Linked DNA regions of Pelodiscus sinensis. The protein of the gene in region 2 purifies or fractionates together with the protein of the main gene of each other region. This does not show direct contact. Links are inferred from orthologs where the notes say so. Each region holds a gene or a part of one and is shown on either strand. Other genes may lie near its edges.

Evidence for each region. Proteins that work in one complex are often made in the same cells at the same time.
Region 1: the proteins of NOP58 (region 2) and NUFIP1 purify together in Homo sapiens (co-immunoprecipitation; 3 studies listed by BioGRID and IntAct, with this or other methods). This does not show direct contact. The link is inferred for Pelodiscus sinensis from reciprocal best matches to the Homo sapiens genes NOP58 and NUFIP1.

The regions. Positions count from the first base shown.
Region 1 is NC_134711.1:286,757,976-286,765,610, forward strand, and holds the start of NUFIP1 (FMR1-interacting protein NUFIP1), read right to left. Parts: upstream 3,379-7,635; 5' UTR 3,205-3,378; coding exon 2,967-3,204; intron 2,311-2,966; coding exon 2,222-2,310; intron 1,652-2,221; coding exon 1,547-1,651; intron 1-1,546. Other genes in the region: GPALPP1 (GPALPP motifs-containing protein 1), read left to right, coding at 3,458-3,542. UniProt on the Homo sapiens protein: Binds RNA.
Region 2 is NC_134717.1:56,310,229-56,318,192, forward strand, and holds the start of NOP58 (nucleolar protein 58), read right to left. Parts: upstream 3,564-7,964; 5' UTR 3,406-3,563; coding exon 3,361-3,405; intron 971-3,360; coding exon 894-970; intron 1-893. UniProt on the Homo sapiens protein: Required for the biogenesis of box C/D snoRNAs such as U3, U8 and U14 snoRNAs. Part of the small subunit (SSU) processome, first precursor of the small eukaryotic ribosomal subunit.

The DNA of each region.
Region 1 (7,635 bases), on a different chromosome or scaffold from region 2:
TATACAGAGGCAACAGACTGTAACATTAAAATTGATAGGTTATATGAGGGACTTTGTCTAAAGCATCTTTGAGTTATGCATATTTCTGTTCACAGAGCATGGGGGAAGAGCTTCAAGCTGTACTGCTATCTATAGTTGGTCAAAACAAGGCAAACCCCACCAGCAGTGTCACCCCTGAACACTTCAGTAATTCACACAAAATGTTATTGCTTGTTCATAAATCATGAATAATTTCAACTGCTAAATACCAATTTTACATTTACCATTATGAATCAAAAGACCAACATGATCAGCAACCCAATGCCTGTAAGACAGAACCTATGTATTCAATTAGGGCAGGAATGGGGAACCTCAGGCCCAGTGGCCAGATGCCATCCCTCAGCTTGCCTGGATCTGGCCACCTAAGGCTCAGGACTCCCCCCAACACTGGGGAATCCACACTGGCACTCCAGCCACCCCGCTGCCCCTCCAAGGAGATGGCGCACACAACATTTACTAGCCTGGGTCCCCTAGGCTCTGGTGTGCAAGAGGTATGTGGAGAGTGTCTTCCTCCTCAGTTGGGGGCCACATCAGTGAGGAAATGTCTTTTTTTTCCTTTGCTTCTCACTTGTGTATGGCTCCCGACTGATTTTTCTGTCAATTTTCCCTGAACCAGAAAAGGTTCCCCACCACTGAATTAGGGCCTCAGTTTTATACCTTAATCAAAAAAGCACACGCATAGCAAAACAGTGACTCCTTGCACTATTTGTACAAGTTGAACCTCCCAAATCCAGGACTCTCTGGTCCAGTAACATCCATAGTCCAGCAGGCCACGGATGTTGCTTGCACCGGAGGCGGCAGTGGGAGACAACATGGGAGTTGGGGAGCTCAGGCTGGACCAGAAGCACCCGCACGAGACAGCAGCTGGGGGGCCCCTGACCTAGCCAAGGAATCGCCTCCCCCCCCCATTTCAACAGGGCCAGGTGTGGTTGGGGAGCCCCCGTCCTAGCAGGGGAACCCTCGGCATCAGCTGGGCCAGATGTCTGGGGAATCCTGGCCCCAGCCAAGGAACCGCTGGCTGCAGAGGGGCTGCCAGTGGTGGGAGGCCTGGCCAGAGAGCCTTCAGCAGAAGCAGCACTAGTGGCAGGGAACTCCTAATGGCAGTGTGGCCAGGGTGACCAGCCACCACCAGCCAAGAACACCCCAAATGAAGCAAAGATGGTGGAGGTGGATGGCCTTTCTGGGGAGAGGAGCCTGGGAGCAGGCAGCCAGCAGGGGAGCACTAACCTCATCTGGTCCAACAAACTCCCTGGCTCAGGACAGTTTAGGTCCTAGGGTGCCAAATCAGGGAGGGCCAACCTGCAGTCAGTGAAGGAGATGACTCCAATGAAAGTGCCACCTACCAATGGTTCCTGTAGCAAGTGATTCTCCGTTGGTGATCTCCCACTCAAGTACTGACTGGGCCTAAAACCTGCTTAGATTATGAAATTACAGGCCAAAATTGTGTGGCTACAAATTATTTTAAAAATCTTTTTTATAACAAACACTCCCACCTAATTAAACTAACCTGTGCGTGCTGTGCAACATGTTCGTCATATTTTTCTTTGTTTTTATAGCCACGATCACAAGTATCACAATAATTAGAGAAAACCGGTTCTTTTTTCCTCTTGTTCTGTTAAAAAGAGTGACACTGTTATGCGTATTTCTTTTTTTAAAACAGAAACCAATATGCCAGAACTTGCTTTCATTAAAATATTGAAATGAGTTTATAAAACTGGAGTTTCAATAGTCAAAACACTTGATACATAATCTATTCAGAAAAATGACTAAAAGTAATCAAATGTTTATATTCCATTTCTCAGTTTCCAACTTAAATGTGCTCAAGTTTACATATAATTTTTTTTTACTAAGCATCATCACTGCCAACAACCCAACTGACAAAGCAGACCCATTACCTTTATTTTGCAAGAAATAAAGGTTCTTGTAACGTTAGTACATCCCAATAATAAAATCATGTGCATAGTGTACAATTTAAGTGAGTTAATTAGAGTATCCCTCTATTGAATGGATCCAGAACTTGTACTCATCTCATCATGGAATGGTCTTCATTATAACAATGGGTTAACATATATTACAATACAGGATTATGTTATAAACGTAACTTGTATGGAAGAACTGAGAGTATTGTATTCCGGAAGCACAACTGAAGTACTAGGGCCCACAGAATAGCTGTTACAAGTACCTTTTGCTTGTAGTTTCTACCTGGCGAATATTTAAAAAATGAAGGTGTTTCTTCAGCTTGCCATTCTTCAGTAAAATAGCAATCTCCACCTTTAATAAAAAAAAATGTATAAGAAAAATTAAGTTACATAGAACTGTTAAAACACTTTCTTCCATATTATGTTTGAAAAGCAAGCAGTGCACTTAACTGGAATAATCTTATAAAAATTCTTTTAATGAAAAACAGAAATTCAGAAGCTTTTTTTATCCATCTGATATTCCTTATATCATCTGTGTAATCACAATATTGCCTGGAAATTAACGTGGCCACTTAAAAAACCTTTTAAAATACTGATTTATTATTTTAAAAGGAAGATAAACGTCGATTTTTTTGGTTTCTGTTTTCTAATGACATAATCAACATGGCAAATCCCAAAGAGACACAGCCTCCTTGGAGATATGTTACCATGTCACCAAAATTTTTGACAAATAAAAGGCAAAAACCTGGTCTTAAGTTTCAGGGTTGAGTAGTGTGGGAAGGAGCATGAGAAATCTCGCCCTTCGTTTAGTCCTATGCAAGTAGCAGCCAAAAACTGGGGGCAGCAACAACCACCTACACAGATGCACAAACCAGGGTGCACGTGAGGAGCAAGACTCTAGATGCAGAGGAGGAAAAACCCCACTCTGCCCGCTGGAGAAGGGATATGGGGGGAGGCAGGGATACTGGTGTCCGTTCTGCCCGCACGGAGGTGGAGGGCCTCCCCTACCTGGGTACGGGGCTGTCGGCGGCGGCTCCCCGTACACCGGCGATGGCTGGTACCAGGCGCCAGGCGGCAGATAATCCCCAGGCGGCGGTGCCCAGAAGCTGGGGTCCCAGGCTGCGGGTCCCGGGGGCGGGCAGAACACGGGGGGCCTGAGCATGGGGGGAGGCGGCGGCGGGTACCAGGCGAAGGGGTTCATGTCGGGCCCCGCAAAGACCCCGCCGGTGCTACTCGGGTCACTCATATGGCCCCTGTCAGCAGCCGCCTCCACATGGGAACACAGGAGGCCGCTGCATTACGCGTCACTTCCGGCACCACTGTAAACACCACGCCCCCAAAGGCAGAGTGAGGGAACTTTGCTGCCGGGCATGCCGCCGAGAAACGTCATCATACAGCGCCGGAAGGGTTATGGGGGATTCTCAACCGCCCGTGCAACACGGGGTCGCGACGCAATACGCAAGCGCGCCCATCGCTGGGCCGGCCGAGGGGCTTGTGCCATGGCCCGAGAGCTGATGGGGCCGGCGCTGCCCCCAGGCTTTGCCCGCTATGCCGAGGCGGACCCGGATGAAGACTTCAGCCAGGGTGAGGACGCGTTAGAGAACTAAATGCCCCTCAGGCCCGGGCCCCAGCCCGGAGCTGCCTGCAGGGGACGTGCTGTGTCCGGGTTCCCCGAGGGGGCGCGGCCTGGGACTTCCGCGCAGGCTACGGGAGGCGGGGGCTTCTCAGGGGGAGTCGGTCTCGCCCCAGCTGGGGCTCAGTGCTGCCCCCCCCCCCCGCAGGCCCATGTGCTGCTGCCAGGCTGATCTGCACTGGCCTGTTAGCGAGGGACCCGCCTGGGGGCTCGCTGAGCACTTACCGCCCTGCCAGGGTGTTCAGGCTGCGGTCTGCGTCTAAGATTTCCAAAGGGCTCCGCACCTCCCGTGGACATTTCTAGGGGTCCACACATGTCACTCCCCTTTGTTCAGCGCTGTTGCCCTGCTCCGCCTCAGGCAAGCTTCCTGTTTAACAAGTTAGTTTTCTGTGTGCTGTAAATCAGGGGCATTGTTTCTTTGTGACAGCTGAGGAGCACACTTGCAACTTGCCCGATGCTACAAGGCTGCACTCAGTTTTTATATATTTCCATACATTAGATGAGAGAGAAGCATGTACATCTAGCCCTGATCTACACTGGGACCTTATTCTGAAATAATTCCTCCCCCAACTTCGAATTTATAAGCCGTGCGTCCACACTACCATGCCCGTTACTTTGAAACAACAAGCTGTGGAATTTGAACTCTGCGCTCCTGCTTTTCAAAAGGAGTAATGCTAATCCTGAAATAGTAATTTCAGGACTCTCCAGTGACACTAATTCACACTTATTGGCCTCTGGGATGCCTCCTGCAGCTCCCCAGAGTGCTTTTCGGGGCTCTAAGTCTCAGGTAACGTGATCACGTTAATGGAGCCTGCCTCAGACTAATTTCAATGCCTCCTCGTAGTGAGGATACAGATTTGTTAAATCAAGAGTTCTTAAATCAAATTTAGTAATTTCAAAATAGGTTCCTAGCATAGACATGGCCCTAAGGTTTTTTCATGTAGTTGTGTTGTGGTACCTAAGATATTTTACATACATATGTCTGTTGTGTGATATACTGTTTTCTCTCTTCAGGGGAAGCATTGTTAATGCTACTTACACATTACTTTTGCTGGCCTTACACATTGTCTATATATCAGATCAACATTTACTTGATCATTACCTGAATATTGTCATTTGTGGTAGACAGCAGAGCCTTCATTTATTTTATTCACATAATCAGTACTACTGGAATCAATGGGACAGCTCATGTAACCAGACATGTTTTCTCTATAAAAGGTTTATTATGTTATGTTATATTTCACTTTTTATTAAAATTCAGAATGGATAACAAATTTTAAATGAATTTTTGTTTAAATTGGCTTTTAAAACATATTTAAATTATAATGCTTTCTTTGCAAAAATAAACCTGCTTTAAATGAAATCTGAATTTAATACCAAATTTGTTAGTGTGAACTTACTAGAATACTAGAACTGGAAGGGACCTTGAGAGATCATCCTGTCCAGTCCCTTGCCATCATGGTGGGACCAAGCAGAGTCTATATCATCCCTGATAGATGTCTATCTAACCTGCTCTTAAATATCTCCAGTGATAGAGATTCCACAGCCTCCTAGGCAATTTATTCCAGAGTTTAACCACCCTGATAGGAAGTTTTTCCTAATGTCCAACCTAAACCTCCCTTGCTGCAGTTGAAACCCATTATTTCTTGTCCTATCAGCAAAGGCCAAGGAGAACACTTGTTCTCCCTCCTCCTTGTAACATCCTTTTAGATATTTGAAAACTGCTATCATGTCCCCTCTCAGTCTTCTCTTTTGTAAGCTAAACAAGCACAATTCTTTCAGTCTTCCATCAGAGGTCATGTTTTCTAGACCTTTCATCGTTTTTGTTGCTCTTCTCTGGACGTTCTCCAATTTCTCCACATCTTCCTTGAAATGTGTTGCCTAGAACTGGACACAGTACTCCAATTGAGGCCTAATCAGCGTGGAGTAAAGTGGATGACTTCTTGTGTCTTGCTCACAACACTGCTGTTAATGCATCCCAGAATCATGTTGGCTTTTTTTTTTGCAACCGTGTTACACTGTTGACTTATATTTAGCTTATGATCCACTATGACCCCTAGATCCTTTTTTGCAATATTCCTTCCTATATTAATCTTAAAACACTTAAATAGAAATATGCTGAAATCCACAAGCATCTACCAAAAACTTTTGAGTTAAAGACTGCTTTTCTGTGTAAGGAATAGGGATGTAAGAGTAGTTGATTAGTCGACTACTTAGTCGATTAGTTGACTGCTTGTGAAGCCTGGGCTTATCAGGTAGATGTGTCGACAACTCACATTTCCCCCTCCCCTTCCTGCCTCTATATCAGACAGCAAAGGGCAGAGAAGCAGGAGCTGGTGCTGGGGGAAGCCGGCTTAAAAGCCGGTTCCCTGCAGTACCATCTCCGTGGTGCTGTTCCCCCCTCCCTGTGCTGTTGTCTCTGAGGCAGCCGTGCGGCAAGGGGCCAGGGAGACTGCTGTGGCAAAGCAGCCCCTGTCTGCGGCCAACCGCCAAGGACAGGGGCTGCTTCACCACAGCAGCTTGGGAGTCCCAGCTGGGACTGAGGAAGCCCGGCTCATGCCAAGTCCAGGAGCTACCCCTGCTGTGGCTCTGCAGTTTACATGAAGTAAGAGCTGTGCTGCCTGCGCGCCCGGCTCTTACTACATTTAAACTGCAGAGCCGCGGGGATAGAGCCTTCTCTTTTTAACTAATCATGTAATATCAAATAGTATCAACTTCATGATTACCCAGTTACTTCCCCTCTTTTCCCCTTCCTGCCCCCAACATCCTTAGTATGGAAAGAATTGAAGGGATAACTAATTTCTTAGGCCACATTATTAAATGTTGACCTAACAGGTCATAAACTGTACTATGAGCTTGTATTGTTTAATAAAAACAATTCTATATGCTGTTTTATGTGTTCAGCTAAATTCCAGTTAACATCCTGATACAGCATGAAACAAATCATGAACAAAATGTTCATTATCTAGTAAAGAAAAAAAAGTGACCATACTAGGAATGTTGTCTAACAAATTAAGAATGTACAGTTAATAAGAATCTGAAAATATGAAGCTGCTGTAATTGCTTAAATAAAGTTATCGTGTACCCTCCTAGGTAGCCAAAAAAAGTAGTAAAACTAGAATAAAAGCTGTATTTAGTTGTGTATCAACATGTTTTAACTTATATTAAGCAACGTGAATTTTTTTAAGAAAATAACTGAAGTACAACTGGAAGTTGATTAAAATTGATAATTTAAATCAAGGCTTTCCATTTGGTGATTTAAATCATGATTTAATTGCATGATTTGAACCTCCTTGATTAAAATCAATCCATCCTGTTAAAAATAGTTTTCATGTCTAGGTTGGACCTAGTTTCATTCATTAGCATTAATATTTATTAGTCTCTAAAGTGCCACAGGACTGCTCGTTGTTTTCAACTATGTTAAAATTTGTTTGGGTTTTTTTTTGGTATATGTATAACCGTGAAAATTTTTAGTAGTTAAGTTTACGTGGGTGCGAGGGAACCTCTACGGGAGCCAGTGTATGTGGGGAGCCAGGTTTTAGACCGGCTCCTTGCATGTTCCAGCTTCGGTGGAGCTGCTGCCCTCCAGCCTCCCTGTGCGCTGCTGCCTCTGTATCAGAGGCAACAGTGCAGGGGCGCAGGTGGCGGCTGCTGCCAGAGGGCTACTGCTGTGCAGGCTGGGAACCAACAGCGCAGGACCTAAATCAGCTGGGCTGGAGCAGCTTCCGGATCATGGTTAACTGTTACCTGATAAGCATTACCTTTATGATGCTTACTAAGTAATCTGTACACATCCCAGTTACCTATCACATACTATTTTTTTCCATAGACTCCCTGCCTTATTCAATGCACAGGATGGATAGTGCACAGTTACTCAGCAGTTCAGTATTTTGTTTTATCCTCATTGTTCAGTGTGTATCCCGATGCCTTGTTTGCTGCACACTATTCAAACCCTTCCCTGAAAACAGAATTATTAATTTCCTCATGGACTTTCCTAAAGTGTCTGAGGACTTCACAAATATTCATTTATCTTTGTAACACTCA
Region 2 (7,964 bases):
ATCCCTAGTGCTTAAATTCTCTATGCCCCTCCACGTGAGCAGGTATCTGGGGAAACCCTGGACTTCTGGGTGAAAAGCTGAAGATAGCCATGCTGGCAGCATACACCAAGAATACACTGTTAAGGCTGAAAGGTAAGGTGGGAGAAGAGGCACACTATATCAATGGCTCTGCAGAATGAGCATGAGAATACCTATGACATCCATGTGTGTATGGAAGGATTTTCTACTCCCCATCAGTTTACCAATCCAAAAAGTCTATGGACAGTTCCAGTTGCATCTGCTATATCACCTCCCTGATCCTAACTTCCTCCTCCTTCTGTAATAATCCTCTCTTATCTATACAAAGTTGTACTTAAGCAGCCATTGGGACCCAGGACAATTATCTCCAGGCTTAGATTTTTGACTCTAGTCCAATTCTGATTAATCTGTCTCAGAAAAGGCTATGTTATCTGTAACAGAAGCAAGGTCATAGATAAAGGTACCCTCTCTGAAATTCCTAAATTGAACTTGCATCACCTCCAACAGCAGCTCAAGGCTTATGCTGCAAGGCACAGTGAGACCAACATCTTTTTAAGAACACAGGAATAGCATAACTGGATTAGACCAAAGTCCATTTAGGCTAGTACTCTGGCCCACAGTATCAAGTGTCACACTTCAGAGGAAGGTGTAAGAACCCTGCCATGAACAGATACTCTGCCACAGCTACACACATCCATATTAGGTTTCACTCTGATCTCTAGCACCCAGAGATCTTGGGTCAGATCATTCTTTTAACATGTAAAAGCTGTGAACTATACTGAAACACAAAGCCTTAGTCCTTCATCTCCTATGTACACAATTAAACACAGTTATCTTTCATACCCAGGCTGTTAGCTCTTCATGGAAAGACTTACATTTTATTTGCTTTTTCAGGAGTTTCAAATTCTCTCCACAAAGTATCAACTTCCTGGAGTTTCTTTTCATCCAGAACCTGTGGATAAAAAATGAAACCAATGTTTAAAGACGTTTGGAGCAGGTGTGTGGAGGGGGGGGGAGAAGGGGGGAGGAATGGACACATGTTAAGTAGCTGACCTTCGGAGCTTAGAGACACTAGCAGGAGGGGAGCAGAGGAACTGGTGCTCTGGGATTGCTTCCACATTCACTGTTGGGGAGCAGAGTGAGCCAGGGCCACGCAGCTCTGCTTCCTGCACCACTGTCAGTGAGTGTGGAGGGGCCAGATCAATGTTCCCTGTAAGCTGAGCACATGGCAGCCACCCAGGAGAGAGTCAAATGCAGCCCAGCTGATTAGCAGAGCACTCACAGCCAGCAGCATGTTTCTACTGTTGATGCACATCTGCATATGCCTAGGGGCACATAATATTTATTCTGCAGGTGGACAGAAAAAAGTTAGAGGGAACACTGGATCTAGAGATGGTAGATACATGATTGCTAAAATAAATGTTAACTACAAAAAAAATGTTTTCAGTTACATTAGTGTTTCCCAATCTTTTCCAGATGGGGACCCATTTTGACAATTCAGGAATACTTGGTGACCTAAGGCAATTCAAAAACAGGGAGGAGGGAAGGCAGAGCCACCTGGGGAAGACACCTGGCAACCCTTTTGAAATGTAATGGCGACCCATATTTGGGTCCCGACCCATATGTTGGGAAACCCTGAGTTACATGGTGACTAGCCTTTGTACCAGAGGCAGCAACATAAGCTGGTTTAAAAAATCAACTCCCTGCACAGACCAGCTCCCACCTGCTGCTCAGGACTTACTCTCTTTGCAGTACAATGCATTCAGACCTACACAGCCTTCAGAGTAAATTTTAAAGACACCACCCTTGGCTAACAGACTAATATTTCAGATTGCTATCAACAAAAGAAATCCACCTCTGCCTCCCAAAAGATTAATCCACAGTTTCACTAGTCTACCATATTTCTGTGAGCTCTTAATAAGCAGTGCACTAAGACTTGGTCTACACTACATCCGCCACCTCCTCCCATCCTCAGCCCTTACATATAGTCTGTCAGAAAAGGTTTGCAGTGCAATGAAGTTTGAGAATTCCTGAACCCATCTATGCTTATATAAAAAAAAGTAGGGCCCTACCAAATTCATGACTATGAAGAACATGTCATGGACTGTGAAATCTGCTCTTCTCCCCCATTAAATTTTTATCATATATGGTAAACCGGGAGTGGGGAACCTCCACCGCAGTGGAAACTCTTGTACATTTCGAAGTTGGAACACCGCCACTGGGCTCCTTCTCCCTCCCAGAGCTGGAAGAACAAGAAAGCCAGTCCCTCCAGGATCCCTTGCTCTCCCCCCGCCTTGCTGCCTCTTTCTGATAGAGGCAGTAAGGGAGAGGGGGGAAGTGACCAGTCCTCCGTGTGTCCTCTGATAAGCTTTTGCTTATCAGATAGTTGACTAGTCACTTACATCCCTATAAGATTGTGTGTCCAGTTAAAGTTTCTGGAATGGAATCTTTGCTTTTCAATGTACACCAGTCAAGCTAAGCATTTTACATAAACATTAGCAGACAAATGTAAATTGAACACATCTTGTAAATGAAGTATTTAAAATACCATTACTATTAAGTTAGCCTCAATGCTTTCATTTAGGGACTAAAGGAATAATATTACTTGCAATAAACGCTAAAAGTCCCAGAAGAAACAGATGCAATGTGAACATATTTGGAAGGCAATAATAGAACATTAGTTAGTTGTATAAACGCCACAATTTCTGCTAATAGTTATCACAAGGGGATAATTCTTAACGGATCTGTTTCATTCCAAAACTGGTGGCTAAAATTAACAAATGCAAGACCAGCTTGCTCTTCCCGGATGCAAACAGGAAGTGAGTTGTTGGTACCACAAGAGATCACAGGGAAAAGCTGCAGCTGCAGACACGTGGTCACTGACATTTACAATTACACTTTATCCTGCGGAATGAATCAAAGCTCAGGCTCGGAGAGAAGCCGATCTATGCAGGATCCGCGAGGAAGCGATGTATCCCTGTGCTACACGCTGCACGACTGCCCAGGTCCGGTTTTCTACCCGGCCACTGCCCTAGGCAGCAGGGGCTGACCTTGTCGGATCAAACGCAGAAAAACCTGCCTTGCAAGTAGCCCGGCGAGGGAGACCCCCGGGGGGGCCGAGCAGGCAGCGAGGGCAGAGCCTCCCTTTCCTGCGTTAACCTGCGCCCCAGCCCAGCCACCGCCTCCCACGGACCTCGCGCCTCTACTCGGTACCGGCGCCAGGCCCAGCTGCGACAGACCCGGGGCTCTCGCCTCAGGCACGTGGTCGAGGCCCGGGGCAGCACCCGGCGCTCCTGCTGCAGAAGGCTACGGGCCGCCCCGCGCCCCTGCCGCCTGCCTCACCTTGAAGACGGCGTAGCCCGCCGCGGTCTCGAAAAGCACCAGCATGGCGGGTGAGGGAGGGGGCCCGGGTCAGCGAGAGCGGCCGCAGCGCCAACGGCCCGCGCGCGCGCCAGGCGACGCCACGTGAGGGATCCAGGCCTCGACCGCCCCGCCGCAAGCAAGCAGCGCGCGCACGGCAGCCAACCGGAAGTGAGGAGACAGGAAGCTGGCCTCGGCAGCCCAGGGGGCGGAACTCAGAGGATGACGAGACAGAAAGAGCCGGAGCGGGGGGGAGGGAGAAGAGTGGGATTAGCTCAAAGGATGGCCCGGACCAAGCTGGGAGGAAGGGGGCGGGCTCAACCGCTGCGAGGCGGGGCTACAGCTCCTGACCCCGCCCATTGTGGCTGGCGGCGCAGGGACGGCGGGTCCTGTCTGAGGGTGGCGAGCAGGGAGCGATCCCCCCCGTGTTACTTCCCGCCCGCCGCTGGGCTTGGGCGCGTTCGAGACAGTCCAGAAGAGAGGGACCCACCTGGTTCAAGCTCCAGAAAGCACCGGGGCTGCGGAGAGCGTGTTCATTCTAAAGGGGTTGAGATGGGTTCAACTAGAAGAGGCCCCCGCTTTGTGACGGCCTGAGTTCCGAGCCCCCGCACTTACGGCCTTTTCCATAAGTGCTGAAGGGGCCGAACCCCCCCCCCCGACTTACATCCCTGTCCCCGCATTTACAGTGGAACGATGTCTGTCAGAAATGCAGACTCGAGTTACGACGGCCCCGACTTGCGACGCGAGCTCCAGAACCGATTGCATTGCAAATTAGGGGCAGACCGTTTCTAACTATCGTAAAGAATAAAATTGTCAGACACGTAGATGAACATAATTTGTTGGGGGAAAGCCAACATGGTTTCTGTAAAGGGAAACTATGCCATACTACTCTACTACAGTTCTTTGAGGGGGGTCAACAAACGTGGACAAGGAGGATCCAGTGGATACAGTCTACATAGATTTCTAGAAAGCCTTCGACAAGGTCTCTCACCAAAGGCTCTTAAGTAAAGTAAATAGTCATGGGATAAGAGGGAAGGTCCTTTCTTGGATTGATAACTGGTTAAAAGACAGGAAACAAGGCGTAGGAATAAATGGTAAGTTTTCCGAGTGGAGAGAGGTAACTAGTGGGGTCCCCCAAGGGTCTGTCCTAGGACCCATCCTATTCAACTTATTTATAAATGATCTAGAGAAAGGGATAAACAGTGAGGTGGCAAAATATGCAGATTATACCAAACTTCTCAAGATAGTTAAGACCAAAGCAGATCGTAAAGAGCTTCAAAAAGATCTCACAAAACTAAGTGATTGGGCAACAAAATGGCGAATGAAATTTAATGTGGATAAATGTAAAGTAATGTACATTGGAAAAAATAATCCCAACTGTATATACAGTATGATGGGGACTAATTTGGCTACAACTGCTCAAGAGAAAGATCTTGGAGTCATTGTGGATAGCTCTGAAAACATCCACTCAGGCTATGTCTACACTATAAGGTTTTTGCGCAAAAACTGGCAGAGCATCCACACCTCAAGCACGTTTTTGTGCAAGAAAATTGACAGAACAGAGGGCTTTTGCTGGTAGTTATTCCTCTCCCCATGAGGAATAACTCCTTTTTGCACTACGGCTCTTGCACAAACAGGCAAGTGTGGGTGCTCTAGAGGTGTTTTGATGCAAGAAACCCCTATTGGAAAAAGCACAGGTGTTCTGCTGGCCATTCTGTGAATGGCCATCAAAGCTTTCTTGTGCAAGAGTACCTATGCAGTGTGGATGCTCTCTTGCGCAAAAGCACATCTGGCTTTTAAATGTTTTTACAGAAAATGTAAAGTATTGTGGAGAATTGTGAATCCTTGAAATATTTCAGTTTTGGGCTATACCTTTGTTTATTTTTTGTAATTATTTTTTAAACTTTTAATGAGTTTGTATTACTACAGTGACCCATGGTATTCAACCAACTCCTATGGGTTTATTTAAACTGCCTAATAGAGTTCTACCAACTCCTGGGATTATATAGAAACTGTCCAATGGAGTTCTATAAACATGTCTAAAAACCTAAAGAATAAGCAGTTACTAGACGCAAACAGTAACAAACATTCATAAGCATTTGATCAGAATACTCACAAAAGGATTAGTCCCAGAGATAACCCTGGCTTGTTCCAGCATCAGAAAGAACCTGATAAATATTCCTAACAAATCTGGTTCTTTTATGGTGCAACAAACAAGAGACATCATACTGACCTTTATGAAAACATGCTTATGATACTTCCATTTTTTTTCAAAACAACCCAAAACTTTAAGCATGAAAAAACCTACCACCCCTCAAGATATACATTGATATCTTCAAAGGCTCCCCCACTCTAGAGAGGTTACTGTAACATTAAGGATGATTGTGTATGGTGAATTATTGTTTAATATTGTTAGAAGGCCCTCAGTGCTTTGTTTTTTAATTTAAACAGAAAAAAAGTATTGTAACTAATAAAATAAAATAGCCTAAAGCAGCCCAGTTGTGCAGACAACTTAATTTCTCCACTCCCAACCCCAATCACAGAAGAGGGAGGTTTGGAGAAGGATGCCTAAATTCCTTAAATTATCTATTAATTCAGAGTTGTGATGATTTAGCTAACCTGTTAAATACAGATTTTAAAGTTTGTTTGAAACAAAGAGGATGGTATAAAAAACTCAGGTTTTTGGAGACAATCCTCTTTCAGTAGAAATGATCCTGAATTGAATTGCTGCTGGACTGTGATGTGAGATATGTGGCTTGTATTTAACTCTGAAAATATATAATATTGAGTTTTGGAGAAACACGAGTGTTAAAAATAAAGCAAAACTGGTATATTTTTTACAGCCTGAAATTGATTGTTTTGTTTAAAGCTATGACTTTTTAAATGAAAAAACATCCTAATGAGCATTTTATTTTTAAGCTTATGAGACTATTTCATTGTTTTATAATAACGTTGTCTGCTCCACAGTACAATCAAAACTTGAGAGATCTATAGACCAGAGAATAAACAAGCTCAAAAGAAAAATTCACTAGCAGCAACAATTGATGGTTGGACAAAGTCCAGTAAATATATTTTGTTTATTGGTTTGTTGTTTTATTAGATTTTTATATGTTAAATAGATGCATAGGTATGGGTGAGAAATATGGTAGAATTAAGTTTTGTGAAATTTTTATTTAATGCTAAATCTCTGTTTATTACTAACAAAATAGTGAATGCCATACCATTTTAACAATGTGCTTAAAAGTTTGTTTAAAATTTCTTTTCTCCAATCAATTTGTAATTTTCAGACCTTCTCTGAAAATAGGTTAAAGGCCTTGGATACCTCACCACCCATCTTGTCTTTTATGTCTACAGGCCCAGGCATATTTGGATAGAATGTTTATCGCTGTTAAGATGTACTTAAAACTGCTGTTGTGTTTGGAGAACCAGTACATGTCCATCAAATCTGCTGCCATTGCACATCCACATCTGAAAAAAAAAGATTTTATTTCTTTTAAAATGTATTTGAGCTGGTTTGTGTAATGCGTAAGAGTCCTGATCTGAAAGCCAAGCTGTTACCTGTCTTCTATTCAAATAATTATGCTTTTTGGCTGCTTGAAACAGAGGGTTTACCTCGCTGAAGCTCCTAACTTCTCTGGGGAGTGTAAGAAATTTTCTTTAACAGAATCGTCTACATAGACATGACTGTTAGTGTGTTAGCAAAAGATATTACACGTATGGAGGGGATGCATTCAGACAGATAAATTTAAACAAATGTTATTAATTGCCTGGTTTAACACATCCTTTTATAGCAGCCTGTGAAAATGAACACGATAACCATTAGAGAACCTGAGCTAGTTTATTCGTCCATTTTGTTCTTTTCTGGATTTTCCTCTCAAGATGTGTGTCTCAGACACAAACAAAAACAGCTGATGCATGACAGATTTACTCCCACAGAGCTACCAATGTGTAGGTTCTCAAAGGACTTTAGAAAGGCATCATCGAGCTGTCAAGAGATTTTCAGAAAGGAAGCAGCATGAGCTCCCACGCTAGATTTAAACAGTCATGATTTGGTTCCTAACCCTATTATACTCCATCATCAACCATCATTTCTTCATCAGTCATTTATCTGTGTGACTTTGTTCATTGGGGACACCTTCTTCCATAGGGTTGGATGAGAAGCCATCATGCTCATTGGGCTGTCCCATGAGCACTTGGGTATCGGGGTTGGTCCCAACATATCCAGCAACAGCTGAGCCAAAGGGTTCTCCTCAGAACAGTTCCTCCTTGGAACAGTCACTGATGTAATGCTCAGGGCTAAAACTGTCCAAAGTTCACAAGGGGGTGGTGAAGGAGTCCCTGTTTCCTCAAAGGATTTCCAAGATTTCTGAAACACTCATTCTTGGGATAAGATGGCCTCTTCCATGTGGTGCTGGGGTTTCTGGGAGTGGTGCTGTGCTCTGATTGGTAAGGGGTGGTTGGGGAAGCTCTTAGAGAGGTCACATGACCCTTTTCAGGGTGGGACACCCAACCCCAAAACCTACCCTGTTCAGTCAAATCCACTCTCAGGATGGTCCCTGTGGCCAAAACTCATCACAGTTGGTAGA